2 linked regions of the Schizosaccharomyces pombe genome follow. The protein of the gene in region 1 interacts with the protein of each later gene in a biochemical or structural test. Each region holds a gene or a part of one and is shown on either strand. Other genes may lie near its edges.

What was found.
Region 2: the proteins of cut12 (region 1) and kms2 form a complex in vitro, tested with the Schizosaccharomyces pombe proteins (one study listed by BioGRID).

What each region holds. Positions count from the first base shown.
Region 1 is NC_003423.3:539,098-543,669, forward strand, and holds cut12 (protein Cut12), read left to right. Parts: upstream 1-2,058; 5' UTR 2,059-2,185; coding exon 2,186-2,192; exon of another isoform or gene 2,193-2,234; coding exon 2,235-3,874; 3' UTR 3,875-4,071; downstream 4,072-4,572. Other genes in the region: tail anchored plasma membrane protein Uvi15, read left to right, coding at 321-356, 426-607, 818-863; GTP-binding protein Gtp1, read left to right, coding at 4,324-4,341, 4,387-4,455, 4,571-4,572. UniProt on the Schizosaccharomyces pombe protein: Required for bipolar spindle formation. May act as a regulator of the p34cdc2/cyclin B kinase. Required for full activation of the plo1 kinase.
Region 2 is NC_003423.3:646,189-650,980, reverse strand, and holds kms2 (protein Kms2), read left to right. Parts: upstream 1-1,961; 5' UTR 1,962-1,991; coding exon 1,992-2,054; exon of another isoform or gene 2,055-2,097; coding exon 2,098-2,844; exon of another isoform or gene 2,845-2,910; coding exon 2,911-3,474; 3' UTR 3,475-4,045; downstream 4,046-4,792. Other genes in the region: DNA replication factor C complex subunit Elg1, read right to left, coding at 1-1,001; rba50 (RNA polymerase II-associated protein), read left to right, coding at 4,403-4,792.

The sequences.
Region 1 (4,572 bases):
TGGGCAACCCAACATGTTTTTAACCATCAGATTATCTTTGCACAGCCTACAGCGAATATTGCGTAAGATGCTTAGTTTATGTGGTAAAAGAACTTTCCACCGCAGAAAAGGAAAGTATATATTTTATACATTTACAAACATTTTAATACATAAACCATTTATTTACAACATTAAAATTAGTATGCTTCTATTGTTGTTGTATAAATTTTTTGTCTATGCATTCGATCTCTGACGCGCACATAGAAGCCTGCGCCCGATTCACAACTTGCCAACTACCATCAACTGGTTTTGTTTTTGTACCCAATTATTTAAGGTGTCAAATGTCTGCTCAACAGTTTTATGGTGATAAGGGCTATGTATGGAATTTGTTATGCAGCTCAGTTGCAACAATTTATTCAGGATTTTACTAACAGCTTCAATTTTAGGCCCCTGCTCCTCCTCAACAAGCTTATGGAGGCCCAAACTATTATCCTCCTCAACAAAATTATCCTCAACAAGGTTATGCTCCTCCACAAGGCTATCCTCAAGGTGGATATCCTGCTCAGCAACCTATGTATGTTCAGCAACCTCAGGCCAGTGATCCTGGTGGCGATCTTTGCTGTGGTCTGTAAGTATAAAGAATGGGCGCGTAGAAGACGTCGAAATTGCATTGGAACGGTGAAGCACACTCTTAATTTTGAAAGGTGAATGGGGTATTCTTTATTGAATTAGGTCATTACGTCAGTCGATTAAAGTTGCTTTGGCGTTCCTTTCGAATAGTTCCCTGTTGAACTGTGTTTTGCTTTACCTTTTTCTCTTTACTAACGACTGTTTTTAGATTGACCGGTCTTGCTTGCTGTTGCTGTTTGGATGCAATGTTTTAAAAAACTATTTGGCTTGTTCTTTCTACTTTTCTCGAAAGAGAGCATGCACCACTGATTAAACTAAAAGCCGTGTTTATTTTCTGACTTGAGTGCAATTAATGATTGTTGGTTATTTTTTCATTAATTCCCTCGCCAGCAAACAACTTTATGGCGAGGATTTATTTATTTACATTGGTAAAGCGTTGGTCGAATAATTATAGATCTTGATTTTTCTGTACAGAGTGTCGTCTCACTTTTTGAAAATTGCTATTACCCAACCGTTTAATTTCAGCTTCTTTTCTTCGAAATTAAAACCTTTAGTTTTATGATGGACTGTCTTTTCTATTTTTTAAGCGCAAAATCTTTTACAGCATCCATTGGTCTAAATCGTTCTTTATGAATAATTTTTAGTTTGGATTAGTTGAAATGACTCGTCCTGAAAAAATTCGCATGTTTATTTATCTTGCTTACCCTGAAGGGGCAATATGTGTGTTTCGTTTTTAGCTAACCTTTCTATGGTTTGTCTACTTTTTTGCTGCTCGTTATATGTTGTGTATTCTGTTTAGTATGCTGTTGTTTTCTTTTAGTGTAGATGAACTCTTTAGATTTCCCAATATGTTTAAGTTTGATAGAGTCGGTTTTTGATCGATACGTATAAGAATTCCTTATTTGTTTTTTAAAAAGATTTTAAAAGTAAATTGAGGCATATATCTTACGTAAAAAGTTTAAAGTTTCTAAGATTTGCTTTGACTATTTCAAACAGGTAGATAGATGCGTGCTTTTTCTATGGTGGAAATACGACAAACTTGTTCACGAAAATGAAGCTCAACCATTGCGACCCCCCTTGATTCAAATGCTATGAATTTGGATGCGCAAGCTCGTTAAGACAAAAATTGCCATATGACTTTTATTGCAATGAGCGCTATATCTACAAATACTCAATATCCTTTATCAATTACCCATCTATAAGTATTATTTATAATCGTAGTAGTAAATGTATTTCATTGCAGCTATACTCTACTTCCTATTCAATTACCTCCTCCATATAGCGAAAAGACCGTTCACGATATCACAAAGTTTATTAACATACAATAACGAGTTCACATATTAAAAGAAATATGACGATACGCAGTGTGTAAAATAGTGTACTGAGAGGACGTCCAATGTAACATGCGATCGGGTTCTTTATTAGTTTGTTGTGTTTGTGCCATACGTTGAAAACCACCGAATTGGGAAATATTGTTAAAGTTGGGTTGTTTGGACATAATTTTGTTAAATTCGTTTAAATTATTTATATTTTTAATTATATTTTTACATGCAGAACAATTCAGAGATCCGATAGAATGTCAGGTAAGGAATTCCTATGTAAACAAAGCTAATCTCAAAATTTAGAAACTTTGAACACTCCGCCAACATATGCATGGGTTTTGAAAGCATTTTCTAGTAAATTAGCAGGAACTGTGACGAAGCCTGTTACAAAAATGTCCTCTTACATTGAGGATGCAGAATCTGATGCAGAACTTCCGCAAGACGCAAAAGAAGACCTGCGCCCAACTGAGACATTAACTCCGTTAAAAAGTAAAGCAGCACAAAATGGGATTTTGAAAACTCCAGGTACTTTACAAATAAAGAAGACCGTCAATTTCAAAGATATTTCAAAAGATGCTGCGACGTGGAATCGTCCAACGAAAAATAATTTCTTATTTACGAGATTAGATGATGAGAATCCTTTAATGGGTCATGAAGAATTCAAATCCCCTTTGTTACAGAGTACTCCAAAACCGAATATTAATAATCCGGATAATGAAAACAAAAGTAAGCATGACGAGTTTGATAATCGCTATAATATTAATATCAATGAATCCTATAAAAATGAGACAAAAAGCAATCAGAGATTAGGCGAAGATGTCCCTTCAAAGAAAAAATATCCTCACTCGATGGATGCCGAGATCTCTAAATTCAAATGGGATAGTAACAATAATAATGACTGGTCAAGTTTAATGAAGGATTGCTTTCGAGATGTTGTGAACAATAATCGAAAAATGAAGGAAATTATTAAAGACGTTATGATTGACACATCCCAAGCTTTTCCCTCTGAGAGCTTGGATGAACCTGACTATACGATAAACCTTGATGCGCCTCGTTCCTCTTCAGGAAAATACTGGAAGCAAAAGTTTAGTATGCTAGATTCTGCTCATTCGGATCTTGAGTTAGAATTAACCTCTATCCGTGAGCGTTTGGAATCCTTAATTTTAGAGAAACAAGAGGAAATCAATTTTTGGAAACAACGTTGTCGAGCTTTAGAAACGGAGAAAATCCATAATCATCAAGGACAACAGTCAAAATACAAAGGCAAGGAATTCGTTGGAAATAGATTTAGCCAAATGAGGGAGCTTTATACTGCTAAGCCAAGTCCGATTACTACTAAAGTTGTTTCTAGGCCATCCCAATCTGATGTGCGTGAGCCTCAAGAACAGGTTCCTTCCAAGAATTTACATCGGGGAGCAGATATGTCGCATTTGGCAGCTCAAATGCTGACTCATTCATCAAAAAAGTCCCATACGACAAACCTAATACCTTCTGAAGGAATAATTTCATCAACTCCTATTTCCGCAGCTTCCAAAGTACGTATGAATTTAATGCAGTCTAATCAAACTCCTACACCTGCTCCATTTTCAATAGCAGCAAAGAAGTCCCACTTACCGTCGAAACTTAGTTTCCCACAAGATGGTGGTAGCTTATCTTCTGCTACTACCTTGCAGCAATTGCCAAAAGCAAGAGTGACGCCAAACGTGTTATCTTCTTTAAGCTCAAACCTTGGAAAAACAAATCCAACGTCAGTATACCAATCAAAAGCGAACGTAACTACAAGTGCTGATGTTGAAAAACCACAAGTTAAAGTTGCAACTAGTTCTCGCGTGGATTATGATTTGAAGAGTCCAAATCAACGTACTGCGAATGCAAAGAAAAGATTAGAGGAAAGGAGAAGACGAAGGAAGTTGAAACTTCAAGAACTTCAGTTGAATTCCTGAAGGTATAATTTTACTAGATCGATATTGTATAATTAGAATGCATATCCTTTTTAAGTAAAGGACTGGAGCCTTAGTTTCATTTATTTTTGTTGAGGAAAGGTGTGTGCATCAAGTATTGAAAATTAACTATATTCCTTTCGAGAATTAAATAAAATATAAGTCCATTATTAATATTAACTCAAATTACTAATTTTTAGTATAAATGATGGATTCATTATAAGAGGCTTGTAAAAGGCCGTATTAGTCGTGGATATTGTAATTTAATTTCATCTTTTCATGCAGTATTTTACTAGAAAAACATTCAGCTGTACATTTAGATCGTAAGCTGACTGGAAGAATTCCATCTCCTCAACCTCCATTTGAATCTTGTCTTAGGCCATACGCAGTAAAAACTTGAAAGTAGCAACAATTTCATATTACCACACTACGATAGGTTATTAAATGGGAAAATGGGTGTCTTAGAAAAAGTAAATAAAAATATCTGCCGTTATATACTAATCTAAATTGGCTAGATTCAAGAGATTGAAGCTGAAATGCGCCGGACGCAAAAAAATAAGGCGACGGAGTACCATCTTGGTTTGGTAAGTTTTTTTAATTCATTTCTAACTGGAATGCCTTTTATTTTATAGCAAATATTACAATGTTGTTCCAACTTATAAAGAATCAACTCTAAATTAAACTAACCTAGTCCTTTAGTT
Region 2 (4,792 bases), 110 kb from region 1:
GTTTTAGATGGAGCATATTTTGACACCCACAGTCCTTTTTCTAATATTTGTGGGATCATTGGCATTTCAACATTAGGATCTGATGGCAAAAGTCTTGACAAAACCTTTTGAATAAAAGGAGCCGGTGAAAAGCACAACGATTCCAAAGCAAAAGTATGAAGTTTAGAAGGAGTAACCTGTAATACTTCTGTTTTATTTTTCTCAGCTAATGGGGTTATCATATTCGCGGTGGTGGAGGAAAGAACCTCCTTAAACGAAAGATGAGAGGTCTCTTCTAAAATGGCTTCTTCTAAATGCTTTTTCGGAAACCAGAAAACACTCGGCTCAATAGAGCCGGCATACTCTAACATACTCTGGGAATCGGGTGTCGGCCATAATGGATCAAGTAACCTCTCTGGCTTAGTACCGCCTCTTTCTTCACTTACAAATTTGATTTCAGAATTCTTTTTCACAGACTTTGACATGAAAAACGGGTGCATGGATGTGACAGTATTTCGCAGATTACTAGGTGAATCTGCTAAGTTTGAATAATGTAACTCGGAAACAAGGGGGGAAGAATTAACTGTTTCCTGTGAATTAATATTCTCAACTAAAATATTAGTATCTGATGCTTCTCCCGACGACTTAGCAGGCGGAAAGGCAGTTGAGTTGGTATCATTGCTGAGTTTTGGGTGTAATATATTCTCAATTTTTTGACCCAAGGAAGTCGATACTTTAAGCGTTACTAGTAAAGATTGATCATTTTCAAAGTCTTTGCTTTCCTCCATATCCATATCAAAGAATTTCCTCATGTAGCTACGTTCCTTATGAAGTGATCGGCTTCTTCGAGGTTTACGAGACCCTGACAAAGGAGATTTGCCAAAATATTTATTTTCAGATGTGGCAGGGACTGGTGACATTGTGTGTCTCCTCCCAATAGGCTTTTCTTCTTTTGCTTCATTTTCGGATTTTAAATCAGGATTACTCTGCGAATCTGCAGACAAATAGCCTACAATTTGCATAGGGATCTTCAATCACCGCATAAGTTCAATAAAAGTCCTAGTTTGAATGATTTTTAGAAATAGTTTCACAGGTTTCTCAGCTTTCAACAGTTTGGTTAAGGAGAGGTAGACAAAGACTCCGTGTACTAGTGAACGAGTATTGGGAATTCGATAAGCTTATAGTTTAGATTTATTTATTTTTAAGTATGTTTTAGATTACTGAAATTCCTAAATAAAATATCGTTGCACCATTGAAGCAACACGATCCTCCATATTATCATTGTTATGTGTAAGCTGTCAGTAATTGAATAGAGAAGTAGGAGATATAATCGTCACAGTTAAGCTTTTTCATCTCTTTTAAAAACGACTTACCAACTTTTAATGTGAGTTTGCTTATTCCATGCAAAGAAAACCGAGTTCAATAGCTATTAATCCATAGCCTAACATAATCAGTGAAATAGTCAAAAGAAAAATTTGATACTAATATACTTTTTAGAAAATTTTAAAGAATTTGTATAATTACTATTTCTACTACCGCCAATTAGTCGGAACGCTGACTAACTTTTTGTGCATCGTTGTAAAATAAAGGAGAGCAGAATTTCACTTGTTTATGATTGTAGTAAATTTTCTAAGTTAAGTAGTCTATTTACTTCAATTAAGTAAATCTAGATTCAAGAAACGGATCACATTTGTTTATCTGTTTATTTATTTGTTTGTTTTTTAAAAAAAGGTAAGTGTAAAGCTTTCCTTCCACTTTAACTCAATCAGTAAAAAATAATTTATTTTGAAGATGATTTTGCTAACAATTTTATACATTTCGTACTGCAACATTTTGCTAAAATATCCTGTTTATGTTTTGACTTGCACTTTGTTTACTTTTTTAAGGCAACTTCTATAACGTATTGTTCTGCATTACATTACAAAAATAAGAAAATCGCACAAGTTATCGTTAACAAACCTGCCTTTATACTAATTCTGTTTAACCAAAGCACATGTCAATAAACAATCAAAATGGATGAATACATCCCTTTTGACGATATTGTGCGCCAATACGACCCAGATTATACAGGAAAAGTAATTTCTCATTACTTGAAAAATAGTTTCTAATTTTCGACAGGTTTCCATTCAAGCATTTTTAGAAATTGTCGACGATGTTGACGCATTGCGACTTAATCCAGAGGCCCCTTTGCTTGATAATGAGCAAAGACAATCGGCCCAAGATTTTATAAAAGATAACAGTGAGATTGTAGTGTCTACGAGTGAAATTAAGAATTTGTTTTATGAGTTAACTGGTCTTGACCCTGATACCCTTCCTGTAAACAAATTAGCTTTGCGCGAGAATGGGGTATTACCAAGAAAAAGTGTAGCGAAGCCTCAAAAAATATCAGAAAATCGAATAAAGAGAAAAGATATGTTTTATCAAGACGCAAGTTACATAACACCAAGAAAAGGATCACCTTTGAGTCATTCAACCCCTTTGTCAATGTTTCGAACTAAAAATGAATATGGATCAAATAAAGGATTTTCTCATATAAACAAGGAAAATGCTGATGATTCTTTAATTCAACAGCTTTATGAAAGGATAGAGCTTCAAGCGGCAGAATTACGTTCTAAAGACGAGCAAGTTAAAGAACTAAACGCGCGAAATGCAAAATTATTGGAGGAATTGGATTCTTCGGAAGAAGCTTGCAAGTCTTGTTATACCCAAGCGAAAACCTGGGAGAAAAAATTTCGTGAAGCTCTTCGTGATTCTAAGGAGTATGCAGCTCAATTACAAACCATTCATGAAGAGTATGAGCAACAGCAAGCCCATATTGTGAGAATGGAAGAGCTAATCCATGCTGTAGAAAAGGAAAGGAAAACGGTATGATTTTTAAGAATATGCCTTATTCGAGGTAGAGACAAGCCAGTTTACTAATTTGTTTAATAGGAAACAGATTACATGAAGAAAGAATCTTTGTCGGAACAAAAAGAAAGAGGCGCTTTTATGGAGTCAAACATGATTTTAGAAGAAAAGGTTGCACATCTTCAGTTGGAAAACGAGCAGTTGAGACTATTTTTTAAGGAAAAGGCGCCTCAACCCTTCCAAAATCACCCTCCGTATCAAAATCTAAAAATTACTTTTCCCAGCCCTTTCTTTCACATCCCTTACATCCCTAAAACGGAGACTTTGAACGATTCCCAATTTGCCGCTGGTCTCTCTTTACTGGCATCAGAACTTGAAAGTCAAAAAAATCTGTTAAAGAAGTTCGAAAACTTAAAAAAGAAGTCTTCCAAAGATTTTTTATCTCCCTCCACCATACTCTCTAATGCTTTTTCCAAAGTTTCACTCCCCAATTCTTTAATTTTGCGTGTCTTATTTTTTTCATTGTTGTTCATCATCGGAATTCATATTTTTTATTTTTTGTTTTTTCATGTTGCAACAATTCAACAATGGCCTTTTCTTTTTTGGTTACCATCTACAAAATTCGACAATCGTTGGTCTCCGACATGAATCTTAGATTCAAGTTTAATCCAATTTTTATTTTCAAAGCACGGATTCCAAACTTAATTGCTATAATTGAACATTGATTCAAGATTTATGTATATTGGAATAATTGATGTATTTATGGGGCTCTGCTCAATTCAAGACGATCTGTATCTTCTAACTCTTCGCCTGATAGGCAACGGACAAGAAGTTTACATTGAGCTAATAATTAGTCGCATCTCATCTGCGTTTGGTTTTAGGTGTGTCATATGAAAAAGGGTTAAAGCGACGTTTTTCGTTTTTATGTTTGAATTAAGATATTTTCTCTGAGACGAAATATTTTTAGTGTTTATCATTCTTTTCTTGTCTAATCTTCTACTCGCCACTCATTTTTCTGTTCTCTATTTTTTCTTTTTGGATGAATGTCGTTTCTTCTAATAACTTCTTTCTTTCTTTAATCTTCAAGGATAGCCCAAGTCCTATTAAACTCGGATACTATCTTTCTCATAATTTCTCTTTTATAACTAGAAAACTTTTTCACGAATTAATTATTTATTATGCACTTTTAATATTAAATGAAAAGTATTGAATTAAAAAAGGAAAAAACCATCCATTTTTCATATCATGTAAACATTTAGTTTTTTTTCCATACAATAAATCAATTTTTACAGTTACGTTATCATATATAGTGAGATGTACCGTTATTTTGTGAGCGCAAAATAGCTAAGAAAATGAGAGAAAACGTAACCATCCCTGCAATCTACCAAATGGTATGTAAATAGTGAAAGGGAGAAAAAACTCATAAGGTTGAAGTATTTATTATTCATTTAATCAGAATCTCATAATACTATCTCAGAGGGCTTTATTCGTGAGGTTTGAAGAAATTGACCCTTAAATTCTTATAAAAAGGAAACATCTACATACAAAAAGCAGATATTTTCAAAATTCAATCGCTATGGAGAATCACAGGAGTGTATTCTCAAATGTGATAGGTGATATTGTTGAAAAACCGCCGAAGCAACTTGTTGAAGTGAAGAGGTCAGTTCAGCGGCATGCTAGGGGATTTCCAGCCGTTTCACGAACATTGCCGAAACGAGAATCGAAATCAATGAGTGCTTATAAGGAGAAGATGCTTCGAAAGAATAAGGAATCTCCGGGTTTGGAAGGAAAAGGGAATTTGGATGATCAAGGTATTGATGAGGAAAATCGCGTTCGTTTGGAAAGGATGAATGATCTGGAAATTGAAGGAGCTCAAGAGGAAATTAGGGCCACTATTCGTGATGACTTGCTGGAGATGTTGAAAAAGAGAGCGTTTAAAAAGAAGGCGGAACGTGAATTGGCACAA